Linked DNA regions of Rattus norvegicus. The protein of the gene in region 3 interacts with the protein of the main gene of each other region in a pairwise test. Links are inferred from orthologs where the notes say so. Each region holds a gene or a part of one and is shown on either strand. Other genes may lie near its edges.

Region 1 (4,448 bases), on a different chromosome or scaffold from region 3:
ATTAATACAAATTGCTTGGCTCTCCGTATCCATATGTGCTTGACCGTTTAGAGTGATACCATTTCATATTCCTCAAATCCCATGGGAAGCAAAGGTTACCTGTAAAATCACGGGGAAGAAAGAAGCCAGAGGATACCAACGAGAACTGGTCCATCTCATTGAAGTCTCTCAATCACTGTGACATGTTCACACTAGAATTACTCCTAATCCTGGGCCAGTGACATAGGCTTTAATAACGATGAGTTGGAGTTCATAAATGGAGTATTAATACCCATGGTCCAAGAAAAAAATTCATCAGGATCTTGAAGCTAGTCTTACTCTAAAATGAATAAGTACAGTGGAGAAAGAGAGAGACAGAGACAGAGACAGAGACAGAGACAGAGAGAGAGACCAATGCTGTCTTATCTCAAATCAACTAGTGGTATTCAGCCTCTAAACAGCGTCATCTGGAGCTGGGTGTGGTGCCTAAAGCCTGTAATGCCAGCACCCTGGAAGCTGAGGCAGAAGGTTTCAAGCATTCTAGGCCAGGGGCTCCATGGCACAGGGCTTGGTCAGCATCCACGAGCCCCTTGATCCAATCATCAGCACAAAGGAAAAAGAAGAGAGGGAGGGGCGGGAGGAGGAATCCCAGGACACTCAACATCCTGCTACATACTGTTTTAAAATAATTCAGGCAGGCACTCTAATCCCAGCAGGTGGGAAGCAAAAATCTGTGAGTTCAAGGCTCACCTGATCCATGTAGAAAGTTCAAGGGCAGATCTACATGGAGAGACCCTGTCTCAAACATCAATAAACTGTCTTTGGAATTATGGAGACTAAATATTCTCTGCATTTGGAAAATGGTTTTAGTTCTATGTATAAACACTTGTAAATAAAGTTTGACTTTTACTAAAGAATGTTCTCATAAATTATTCTGAACTCTGACATAATCTAGTTCCCCGAATCTGCACTATTCCGGGAATATTATTTTCTGAATCCAAAACTATCATCTAGCCTTTCCCTCGTTTACAGATGGAGAAACAAAATCTGAAGAAATGTTAGTTCCTGTAGGTCAGCCAGAGTGAAAAGTAGAAACTTTCATCTCTATTTAATTTAAATCCTAAAATCAAAACTGGACATGGGATCAGCAAAACTGGTTTGGACTTCGATAGGTTTACTTACTTACACCAGGGAAACCTGTGAGGACCGCGGTGAGTGCCTGCCGATTGGTAAAAGTTGAGGATTCTTTAGTTCTTACCCTCCACTTAAGGAGATGGGCTGGAGATGAGGAGTGGGTAACAACGCTTGAACTCCTCCGCGCTAGAGGGCGCCAGAACCTCTATTTTAGTTGCGCGAAGCTGAGGCTTCACCAACCGGAAGTTCTTTGCCCTTAGCAAAGATGGCGTCCGATAGCCTACACCAATCAGGTTGCTCTACTGAGAAGCGGCGCTTCCTCCCTCCCGGCCAAGGATCTGTGCGGTCCGAGAGTTCCGGTGGGCCAATCAGAGCGTCCTCCACACACGAACGCGTCGACGTCAGAGGTGGGAGGAGCCCAGTTGTAATTTTTGGCGGGATCCGGTGTGGACCGGCAAGAGAACCAACCGTGTCTTAGGTGAGCTTTGCGGCCTTTGTGTGTGTCGGGGACTCTGGGCGTCCGCGCAGGGACTGGGGTCTGAGGGAGAGGCGCGAAGCTCTGAGGGGAAGAGGCGCCGGAATCTTGATCGAGCGAAGCAGGCGACCTTCGGCCGAGGCTGGAACGGGCAAGGCGCCGGCCGGGGCTGGAAGATTGGGAGCTCGTGTGCATAAGGAGCCTGTTTTGGTTTATTTTCTTTTTTTAAGAGCGCCCTTTTACTTCTGTTTTTTAAAAGTTTGTCTCTCACAGTTTCATGTACGCACATGTAAATATGGCAATTCAACCCTGTTAGCTTCCCTTTTCTCTAAACCCCTTCCTCACCGGTGATACGTACCCTGTTACTTTCATGTTTCTTTTATCTTGTTTAAATAACCCACTGAAAGCAGTTAGAGTTGCCTGCATAAAGAGCACCCTTTTAAAATGCTCGCCCTCACTGACTCCTCTCTCCCTGGGGGATGGCGGCATACGCCTTAACAACCTCAGTTTCAGTGTGCTTGTGTACGCCGATGTAGCAGAGCAGTGAGTTTAGAAGAACATGTAAAGAAGTGTGCAGTAAGCACGCATTAAATACTAACAGAACAGCCCTTTTCCAGATCATTCTCAGAACAGAACAGTTTAAACACAGTTGCCTGACACACACAGTTTATATCTGAGGAAACAGTAAAGCAAGGCAGAAGGTCATATCCAGACTCGGGGTACACCAAAGACAGCGTTCAGCCTGTCCTTCCGCCAGATTGGGTCTGACATCCAACAAGAACAAATGTGTCTTATAAATTAAATGCTAATGTTGGTCGAAGGAGGCTGGAAATCAGGTCCAAAAAACAATCCAGGGAGCAAACTATACTTGAGGTAAAAGGCCTTCTGCCTCCCCTACCCCCACACACACCCTGGAGCCTCTCTCACAGTTCACTGTTTGGCACGATGGCCAGGGTTCTGATAACCTGCTTCTGCCTCCCCGGTACTACGATTCAAGGCGTTTGATACCCTACCCAGCTCCAATGTTATCTTTCTATCTTAATTTTTCTGGTCCTCTATGCTTTGCCAAGTAGTGTGGAAGTACAAATCCTAACTTATGGTAGAGCTATGCATCTCACACTAAGCTTCAACAGATAAAGTAGTCTTCAAATGCATTAGAACAGTAAAACAGGACAATAACCCTCAATTTTACCACAGCCCGAATAGCTCCTGTTCACACTGAGTCTGTAGTCTGCCCCACACCCTGTACTGCACGGCAGTTTGGTCTCTAACCCCAGTTTGAAGCCAGGTAGAAGAGCTTATGTGAGAGGAGGGGATGCTCCTGGGCTGTTGGTAATGGGAGAGGGCAGGAGACATGCTGGGTGCCGGGTCCTGGGCGAATCCTAAGGGTGGTGTCCCGGAATCGCTGGGACATGGTTTGTTGGATGTGCCCTGTGAGAAGAGTCAGTGACTTCTCGAATGTTGATTTTTCTGCAGCCCAGAACCTTTGTTGCGTATCTCCTGGACCAGCTACCTGATCCTTCCTTACCCTTCCACGGCTCAGCCATTATCTTGAAAACATGAATGGTAAGGCCGTCTAGTTTTATGGCTTCCTCTTTGCTGTGTGGAAAACTAGCACACCGTCCTTCACTCTAGCACAAAGCAGCCGGGAGCCAGGGCTGCTTAGTAACTGATGTCTAACTGTCAGACCGGGAAATTGAACTGGGCTGTCTGACTCCAGAGTTACGTTGCATGTGGAAATCTTTTGAAATGGTTTTAGTCTAGATCCGATTTAAATTCTGGTGGTCCTTTCTTTGGAGTTTTGCTTGTTTGTTTGTTTTTTTTCTTCAGGAATTTGTGCAAAGAAAAATCCCAGTGGAAAAATACTGCTCTGTCGAGTACAGCTCAGTTGGAGCAACAGAGTGTTTGTTCCACGGGCCCTGAACAGCGGACTGCATGGCGGGTGGGGGAGTTGTTGTTCTCTTTGGTGACATAAATGAGCTCGTCGCCAGAAACTATTACTTTCCCCCGGGTTTTTTAGATTTTGTCTTCTTCAAGAAAAGTGAAGGCAAACATTGAAATTAATAACACTGTGTGGAGTGCGGTGGCTTAGCTCTTTAATCTCAACACTCAGGAGTCAAAGGCAGGTAAATCTCTGAGTTCAGCCTCATAGTACTGGGATACATGAGATTGAGTCTCAAAAAAGAAAAAGAAACTATGTTCTGATTTGGGTTAATTTTATCTATAACATGAAATTACCAGTGAAATAAAGTGTTGTTTAATGATTAAAGGTCAAATAAAGGCAAATATGACAGAAAAGTTAATGATAACTAATTCTGGGTGACGAATGTTTACGTATCTTTCTCCATTTAAAAGTAACAGTGGGCCAGGCTGTGTGACACCCGCCTTAAATGTCAGAACTAGGGAGGCAGAGGCAGGAGGATCTCTTGAGTTTGAGGCCAGCCTGGTCTAGAGAGTGAGTTCCAAGTCAGCTACAGCAAAACCCTGACGAAAATAAATAAATAAAGTAAAAATAACAAAAAGTAAAACGGTAGGCAAGGTCTTTATCTATGTTAAAGCGTTTTTTACTTATTCCTTACTGGCCAGATCTCAGGAAACTTGGTAGTGTCAGAAGCTAGCTCGTTAAAGCAGTGCAGGGGAAAAGGTCCGGCCTGGTCCTGGCCCACTCTTTCTTTACTCTCCTCGGTGTCTTCTAAGAGGCGCTCTGGCAGGACAGTAGGTCCGAGAGAAGCAGGCAGAGTGGCAAATCTGGAGGCTCCTTTCAGTTGCCCTGTGAGTGCTGACCGGCACGTTGAGTAGGGTGTGCTTGTGTCTCCGCCCGGGGTGGACTTTCGTTCCCATTTCTTCTAGTGGAGGAAGA
Region 2 (4,083 bases), on a different chromosome or scaffold from region 3:
AAAAAGAGAGATTGAGTGAGAAAGGGAGATCAAGAGCACATATGGATACAAATTCAAAAGCCATTCATCTTAAGTAAAAGCCCCGAGTTAGCTGTCGACTCTGAAATTGATTGTCTGATACTCTATAAGCAGATACTTTACCAACTCCATTTCCCAGAAGATGGAAACTGAGCCCAAGAGCTTCTTCAAGGTCACAGGACTAATAGAACGGGTTTTAAAGCAGGCCATGTGCTTCCAGAATCCAACCTTTAAATTGCATGATATGTGCTGTCATACAAAGTTTGAGGCTGGAGGTGGTAGCACATGTCTTTAGCCCCAGCAGCTGGGAGACAGAGGTAGGCAAATCTCTGCGAGTTCAAGGACAGTCAGGGATACACACAGAGAAACCCTGTATTGAAAGAAAAAAGGAAGGAAAAGAGAGAGGTAAGGAGGGAGGAAGGGAAGAAAAAAAGAAAAGAATTTTGGAAAATAAAGAGACATGAATGACTATATAGATGGACACCAGTGGTCACATGCTATGCTGCTGAACATTATTAATGGCTTATCTTTTAAGTGTATATACTATGTACTACAGGATATATAACTTTAAAAATCACATTCTACACCTTGGTCTATAATCTTCCCTAAGGCTATTTCTGTATACACAGTTTATAATCATTATTTTAAAATTAATTTAGGCTGCTTCCAATGTTTCTCCATGACAGACTTCTGCCACAGGCAATGGGATGATAGGCTTAAAAAAATTCCATCTTTTATACCCCATCAACTACTGCTGTGAAAATATAAATAAATGGCTAAATAAATAAATAAGAAAAGCCACTAGGGAGTGCAGTTCTGTGTCAGTCCGTGAAAGGACAGGAGAAGAAGGCCATTATCTAAGGTCCTTCTGCTATCCCTTTGTCTAGCATCCCCAAGGTATTAGCAAAAACCCACGCCAAGGAACTGCAGTGGCCTGAGGCTAGCACTGCGCATGCACAAAAAGTGGGCGGGGGTGAAAGAGAGCATAGAACGGGTGCATATGAGGGCAAGTGAAAGCCTTGAGGAACAGAACAGAGGCGGGGCTTTTTTGTCTCTGGGCAACCTTTGTTCCCGCCTCTCCTTAGGGCTTCGGCTTCTTATTGGTCAAACATCTTTAGTTCCTATAGGTCAAAGAACCAATGAACTGGGTCTGTCCCAAGTTATGCCTGATTCCGGAACCGCAGCAGAAATAGTTGATTGTGAAGCTGCTTTCAGGCATTGCTTTGGACATATCTATGGGGCCTGAAGGGGCCTTTTTCTAGCACCGGAACAACTGCCGGAGAGTTCAACGGCAAGCTTAAGAGATGCCGCCGAAGGGGAAAAGTGGTTCTGGAAAAGGAGGGAAAGGTAGACCGGCCGAGACAGTCAGAGAGCTTAGGGGTGAATGAGGAGAAGGGCAGGGGTAGGCCGGCAGGGTGAGGAAAAGGGCAGGGGTAGGCCGGCAGCTGTGGGGGGGGGGGGCCGCGGGGGGGGTGGTGTTATAAGTTGGCCAACAAGGTAACCAAGAGCACCGTGAGCCGCTACGATTTATGTTCGGGGTTCTTTTAGTAAGTCAGAAAAGTGCTGTGATTCAGGGTACCCATGAGGTTTCAGTGCAGGGACCATCGTGGCGGGATAGAAGCTACTAGGGATGGTTCCTCGCGACCTGGAACTGCTCTTTTAAGGGTTTATTACCACTAAAATTGAATCTGATGAAACGCCAGCATTATTAACAACTAGTATTATGACATACCCCTTTCCCTTAGGAGGGAGTCACTTTTTGAAGACAGGTGTAGGGCACATGGCTGTGTTTTCAGGCTAGAAAAGTAAGACAACTCTTAGTCGTTCCTGGACGAAGTGGGGAAGATAGTACTGTGCTGAATGTAGTTCTAGGAGGTATATTATAGAAGGTGGAAAGAGGGTAAAGAATCAAACTGGAGATACTGCTGAAATAAGCAGCAGCAATAGGATAAAACATACTTGACCCGGAGTGTCCAGCCCCAGAAGCAGTTTGTATAATCTAGCATTACTGAAGTAAAAGTTCAAGACAAATAAGCCAGCAAGAGGAAGGTATTAAAGCAGAAGAAGACTAAATCATAGGGTGTGCTGTACATGATGTTAAGGTCGGTCACAGGCCAGGAGGTACTTTAGAGAGCATTTCAGTAGTTCTGGTAAAAAATAGCCTGAAGAAAGGTCGTGGTTGTAGGAACCCAGAGAAGAGACAAATAAAGGGAGTGTAGTAGAATGATGCCCCAGAGGCCCAAGGAACCAAGATGTTTTAAAGTATAAGAATGGGTGAGACACCACAAAGCCATGCCTCAGCAATGGTAGACTGAGGAGGATGTGAGTTTGAGGTCACCAGGAGTACATTGTCCTTTAGCTGGTCAGCTCCTGTTCATCAATCAAATATTGCCTGTTTAGCTAAAATACGTGTCCCTTCCACAACTTTTCACTTGTTGGATTCTCAGAAAGTGATCTGTCTTCCTCACTGGGATGTGAGCTCTTGGCTGTAGCTATGAATCCTATTCACCTTATACCTGAAGAACTGGAACTTGGGAATTATTGAGGAAACAATTGTTAAGCTAAATACTTAGTCTTAGACACCTTGGCTTCTAGCATTTAATATACTGCCTTTGACACAAAACTTAAGAGTAGTAAGATGTGCTACCAATGCTTGATAACCTGAATGTCACAAACTCTAGGAGGATATCGGTAGCCATTGTGGTAGACTGCAGGGGGAAATTATATATATATATATATATACACATATATGTGTGTGTGTGTGTGTATACACACATATATACATATATACACACATAGACATATACACACATTTATATATATACATATATACATATATACAATTTTAATATAATGATAAATATTTTAATATGATATATATGTATATATATATTCATTAGCAAGCACTCTACCCCTGAGATACAACCAAACCCCTTAAAATTCTTGGAGATTTTGAATGTTAGAGTTTCAAGTGTCACACACAGTCACAGAACATAATAAAAATTATGTGATTTTATATAATGGTAGATTTGGAATGGGGTCTGAAGAATCTGGACCAGGCTTCTGGAGCTCCTTCATCCATGCCCACACTCATTTCTTTATTTTCTGCAAAGTATTTTGTAGGGTACATTTCCTGTTATTAGAGATGAGTCATAGAGTAAGTTAACTTGATTGCATGACTCACCATGTAGCCTTTTGGAACTTGGGACTGTAATGGATGGATTACCTTGTGTTATGAGTTAGACCTATCTATAAATGTCAAAGTACAGTTGAAATGAGTTTGTATCCTCTCTTTTCTAAAGGAGGTGCAGCCTCTGGGAGCGATAGTGCTGACAAGAAGTCTCAGGGTCCTAAAGGTGGTGGCAATGCAGTAAAGGTGAGTTATCTCATGTGTTAACTTTTTTCTATGTAAAGAATTGAGGTGTGTGTATGTGTGTGTGTGCATGTGTGTGTGTGCATGTATGTGTGTATGTGTGTCTGTGTGCATGTGTGTGCGTGCGAGTGGATGCGCGTGCACAGAAAAAGGAAGGATATAAAACTAGAAACCAAAATCCAGTCTTAGCTTTCAAAGGGTAGAATTTTCAAACTTCTAGCACTGTTCTTTTAAATGTGTTAACTTGTGGACTAGGGTTTTAGCTCAGTCAGTAAAGTGCTTGAGAAAGGACCTAAGTCTAATTGGTGAGTTTTAATCCAGTGAAAGACCTTATCTCAAAATAAAAAAAGGGGGATGGCACGTTAGAAGGGAATTATCTCCTGCCCTCCAGATGCACATGTTCACAAATTTGTTACTTTGACCATGGGTGGGAGATAGTCCCCAAATAATTACCTGAAGCACTTAATCACCCTATCCCAGAGCACTGTCGGCAAACAGAACTGTACTAGTATGGCTATGTAACAAGGAGTTTCCATGTTTGGATCAAGATACAGGAGGTAAAAAAATTAGATTTCATTGCCTCTGCCTATAAATTCAACCATACACATGTAACATAAAAGGAAGAGAGAAAGATGGGGATAAAATGTGATCTGGGCTGTTCTACTCAATACACCTATGCCTCAGAGATAGTG
Region 3 (3,373 bases):
TATATGGTTTCACAGCCGTGTGTCTACATGTAGGTTTATCTGGATCCTTTGTTTAGATGTAGGAAGCTAATAAAAGGTACTGCTTTCCTCCCTTGAGTTGGAAACACAGAAATAGATCAGAATCAGATAGATTGGAAGAAGCACTGGCTCTAGCACTGGTAGGGAGGAATCGGTGGGTCATCAGATCTGTGGCCACCATAGAGTTTAGACTGCTTCTCCCTAAATCACAGGCTGCCTTGTGAATGAGTGTAGATTTCTTCCTGAAGAAAGGGGAGACTCTGAAGGCAGATCCAGTGGAGGAATCTGCTGGTACCAGCTTTAGGGTATCAGGTATAGGTAACAGGGGTATTAGCTCCCATAGAGGGAAACAGATGTTGCCTGATACTCTTCACCCCCATCTTTGAGTCTCTAATATTCTTTCTCTGGCTTTAATTTAAACCAGAATGATCAAAATGTGTAGATGAACATCATTACACAATACTACTTCCTGTCTTCCTCAGGACTTCAGACAAGTATGAAGCAGCTCTCTGGGGAAGTTATGGAGCTGAAGCAACACGTGGCGCACTATGACAAGATCCAGGAGCTCACACAGATGCTTCAAGAGAGCCACAGGTCCCTGCCTGAGTGGGTCACGGGGGGAGGCTGAGACACAGGGTGGGAGGCACTAAGAAACACAGTATCTGTCAGGAGTTGGTGTTCAGGGCCCATAGGCATTGCCACATTGACTTTCAACATGAGTGAACATTCCCTTGGTAAAAAATGAGATATGATGATGACTGTAAGGAATGTACTCTGAGGTACACCTGAAAAGTGTTTAACCTGAGACCCAGGAGCAACCCAAGACATGTATGAGCCAGGGAGTATGGACTAGAATCTGAGGGGTGAGTACATGTTAGAGCTGGTGAAGTCTGGTCCAGTGTTCTGCTCCCCTGGGCCATGTGCTTTCCACTATAGCATGTGCTTTCCCATCACTGGAGGTCATGGTTGTTCACTTACAAACATGGACATCATCTTTCTACTTGTTGCTGTATGAGTAGTGAAAGGGGGAGTAGGAATGTTAACATGGGCAAGGCAGACCCTGGCTGTATTGAGGAAGCGTCTTCTGGGAAGGAGGCAAGTGCCTGAGAGAGAGCAGGTCATCGGAGCAGCTGTTGTTCCTGGAGCCTCCTCTGAGGAGGGCTCATTGTCGTCACTACTCTTCCCCGACCCTCCCTTCTTCCTTGTAACTCCTGTTGTTAATGGTCTCCTTACAAGGTGACCACATGTAAGGGTCTTCATGTTGGGTCAGACAGAGCCAAGCTTTCCCTTTTAAGTCTTGGCAGGCCCGAGTTACAGAGTTGGGGGTAAAGGCTTTGGGCACAGAAGACTGCTAAGACAAAGTAGGGAGGAATGGATGGAAGGAAGGAACCTGGGCTGCTAATTCAGAGCAGTGACAGGCAAAGGAATACACTCCTGGATTCCAGCAGGCCCAGTGCAGACAGAGATGCAGAGGTCTGGAGACAGTGCCACCAGGCTTTTGCTCACGCATGTGCATGCTGGTGTTAGCAGCCATTTCTGTGATTTCAACAAACAAGGTCAGCACGCACATACAGATTTATTCAATGGGATGGCCATCTTCAAAGATGGCAGAAGTTAGTGTTGCCTTGCTTCATCTGAACTTGAGATGCTATTCATTATGGCCACCTTGGGGACGAAGCAGTAGTGAGAACTTGTGGGAAACACACTAGTGTTTCTGAATCCAGCTCTGTGCTGTGCTATGGCCATGTCCCAGTTAACTGTGTGTGACTAGGAATCAGAAACACTGCAGTATTGGGTCTTTACAGTGGGAATATGGTTTTACTAGCCATAAAGATTCTCATCGTCTTGCCATAGAACTGTGGTGTGTTAGGAAGGCATCACCATTCACTTCTTCAGCTTATTCCCAAGCTCAACTCACAGTGACCAGCAGTGCCTTTGGGAAGGCTTGCTGAAGCCAAGGGCTCTGGCCGTGTCCATGTATGGTATGGAAGGTCATATAGAGTGACAGTAGCCAGTAGGAAGAAGATAATGGGGCCAGGGACAAGTGGTCACCTTGGCACTGCTACAGTTGGGAGCACCTGGCCAGGGCATGGGCGAGATATTTGTTTCTATGCTGGTGGACTTCAGCCAGTCTGTGGCAGTTGGGACACAGCAGTTACTTTCCTTTCATCCTCCAGCTCTCTGGTCAGCACCAATGAGCATCTCCTGCAGGAGCTGAGCCGTGCACGGGCACAGCACAGAGCTGAGGTCGAGCAGATGCACTGGAGCTTCCAGGAGCTCAAGAAGACTACGGCCCTGGCCCCACACCGTAGCTCCCGCCTTGGTGGCCGGCAGTCCTGCTAGCTGCTAGTGAGCTGTACTCCAGGGTTGTACCTGGGCATGTATCTGTCTGAATACCCTCCTGAGACTGTAATTACCTTAGGAACCTCAAAATGTATTCGTAAGCTCAGCTTGCTTATGTGTCCTAAATTGACGTAACCGCCCTGGGGCTTCTTCACGTTTGGGAAGTTTTCATTACACATCCTGCGTAAGGTACCTGTAGTTTTTTTTTTCTTCCCAATGTGGGAAAATTCGTATAATTAAAATGTTTTCATGTGACAAACATTCCTTACTTAAAGAAATAATATATTGCTATGTTTAAAAGTTAACCCGTAGATGGCTCTTTATAAATTATAACTGACTTCCTTATTGAATTCTTCTATAAAACAAGTTGTACAAAGTGAGAAGGAAGAAATAAGTTCCAAGTTGAAATAAAAAGTAAACTTAGAGATGTGACAAACATTTTAAAAACTTGTATGATGTTAACGTGTCATAGTAAAACAAATAAAAAACCTCCCCACTTGTGCCTCAACCTTTTGCTTTCAATAATTCCTGCAAATAAACAGACTGTGGACCTGAAACCCAGGGGAAGATTTAAAAACACACTGTACAGAGTGGATCCCAGATGACTAACCGCGTAAAAGGTGCTCAGGAGAAGAGGCAGACTCAGTCACCAGTACAGTACTATCCAGAGGGAAGCCCATGCAGAGAGATGGCTCGTACACACCAATGTTGCCGAGTACTGCACTCTGGAGACAGCTCAGAATTGCCTAGTGGACCTTGTCAGAAAGGCTCTCCTGCCCTCCACTCCTGCAGCGACTCCCAAGTCAATTTTGTGTGCAAGGCAGGAGTGAGTTTCAAGCCTCAACTTTGAGGCTTTGAGGGCTCTGCTGTGTTCTGTGGCTCCCAAGTCAGGAGCCGTACAGCCAGCGGTCTGTTTCTGTTTCAGTTTTTGTACATCATGTATGTCTATGAGTTAATTTATATTGCCTAAATTTTCAGATTATTTTGGTACTGATAATCTTTTGTTAGTGTT

Evidence for each region.
Region 1: the proteins of Cep72 (region 3) and Mcm10 interact in a two-hybrid assay, tested with the Homo sapiens proteins (2 studies listed by BioGRID and IntAct). The two-hybrid records come from large-scale screens. The link is inferred for Rattus norvegicus from reciprocal best matches to the Homo sapiens genes CEP72 and MCM10.
Region 2: the proteins of Cep72 (region 3) and Pin4 interact in binary tests that used the Homo sapiens proteins (3 or more experiments, as listed by UniProt). The two-hybrid records come from large-scale screens. The link is inferred for Rattus norvegicus from reciprocal best matches to the Homo sapiens genes CEP72 and PIN4.

Annotation. Positions count from the first base shown.
Region 1 is NC_086035.1:78,173,839-78,178,286, forward strand, and holds the start of Mcm10 (protein MCM10 homolog), read left to right. Parts: upstream 1-1,548; 5' UTR 1,549-1,591; intron 1,592-3,064; 5' UTR 3,065-3,147; coding exon 3,148-3,154; intron 3,155-4,438; coding exon 4,439-4,448. UniProt on the Homo sapiens protein: Acts as a replication initiation factor that brings together the MCM2-7 helicase and the DNA polymerase alpha/primase complex in order to initiate DNA replication. Additionally, plays a role in preventing DNA damage during replication.
Region 2 is NC_086039.1:71,270,765-71,274,847, forward strand, and holds the start of Pin4 (peptidyl-prolyl cis-trans isomerase NIMA-interacting 4), read left to right. Parts: upstream 1-1,269; 5' UTR 1,270-1,322; coding exon 1,323-1,365; coding exon of another isoform or gene 1,366-1,398; intron 1,399-3,320; coding exon 3,321-3,394; intron 3,395-4,083.
Region 3 is NC_086019.1:31,080,995-31,084,367, forward strand, and holds the end of Cep72 (centrosomal protein of 72 kDa), read left to right. Parts: intron 1-500; coding exon 501-612; intron 613-2,195; coding exon 2,196-2,361; 3' UTR 2,362-2,869; downstream 2,870-3,373. UniProt on the Homo sapiens protein: Involved in the recruitment of key centrosomal proteins to the centrosome.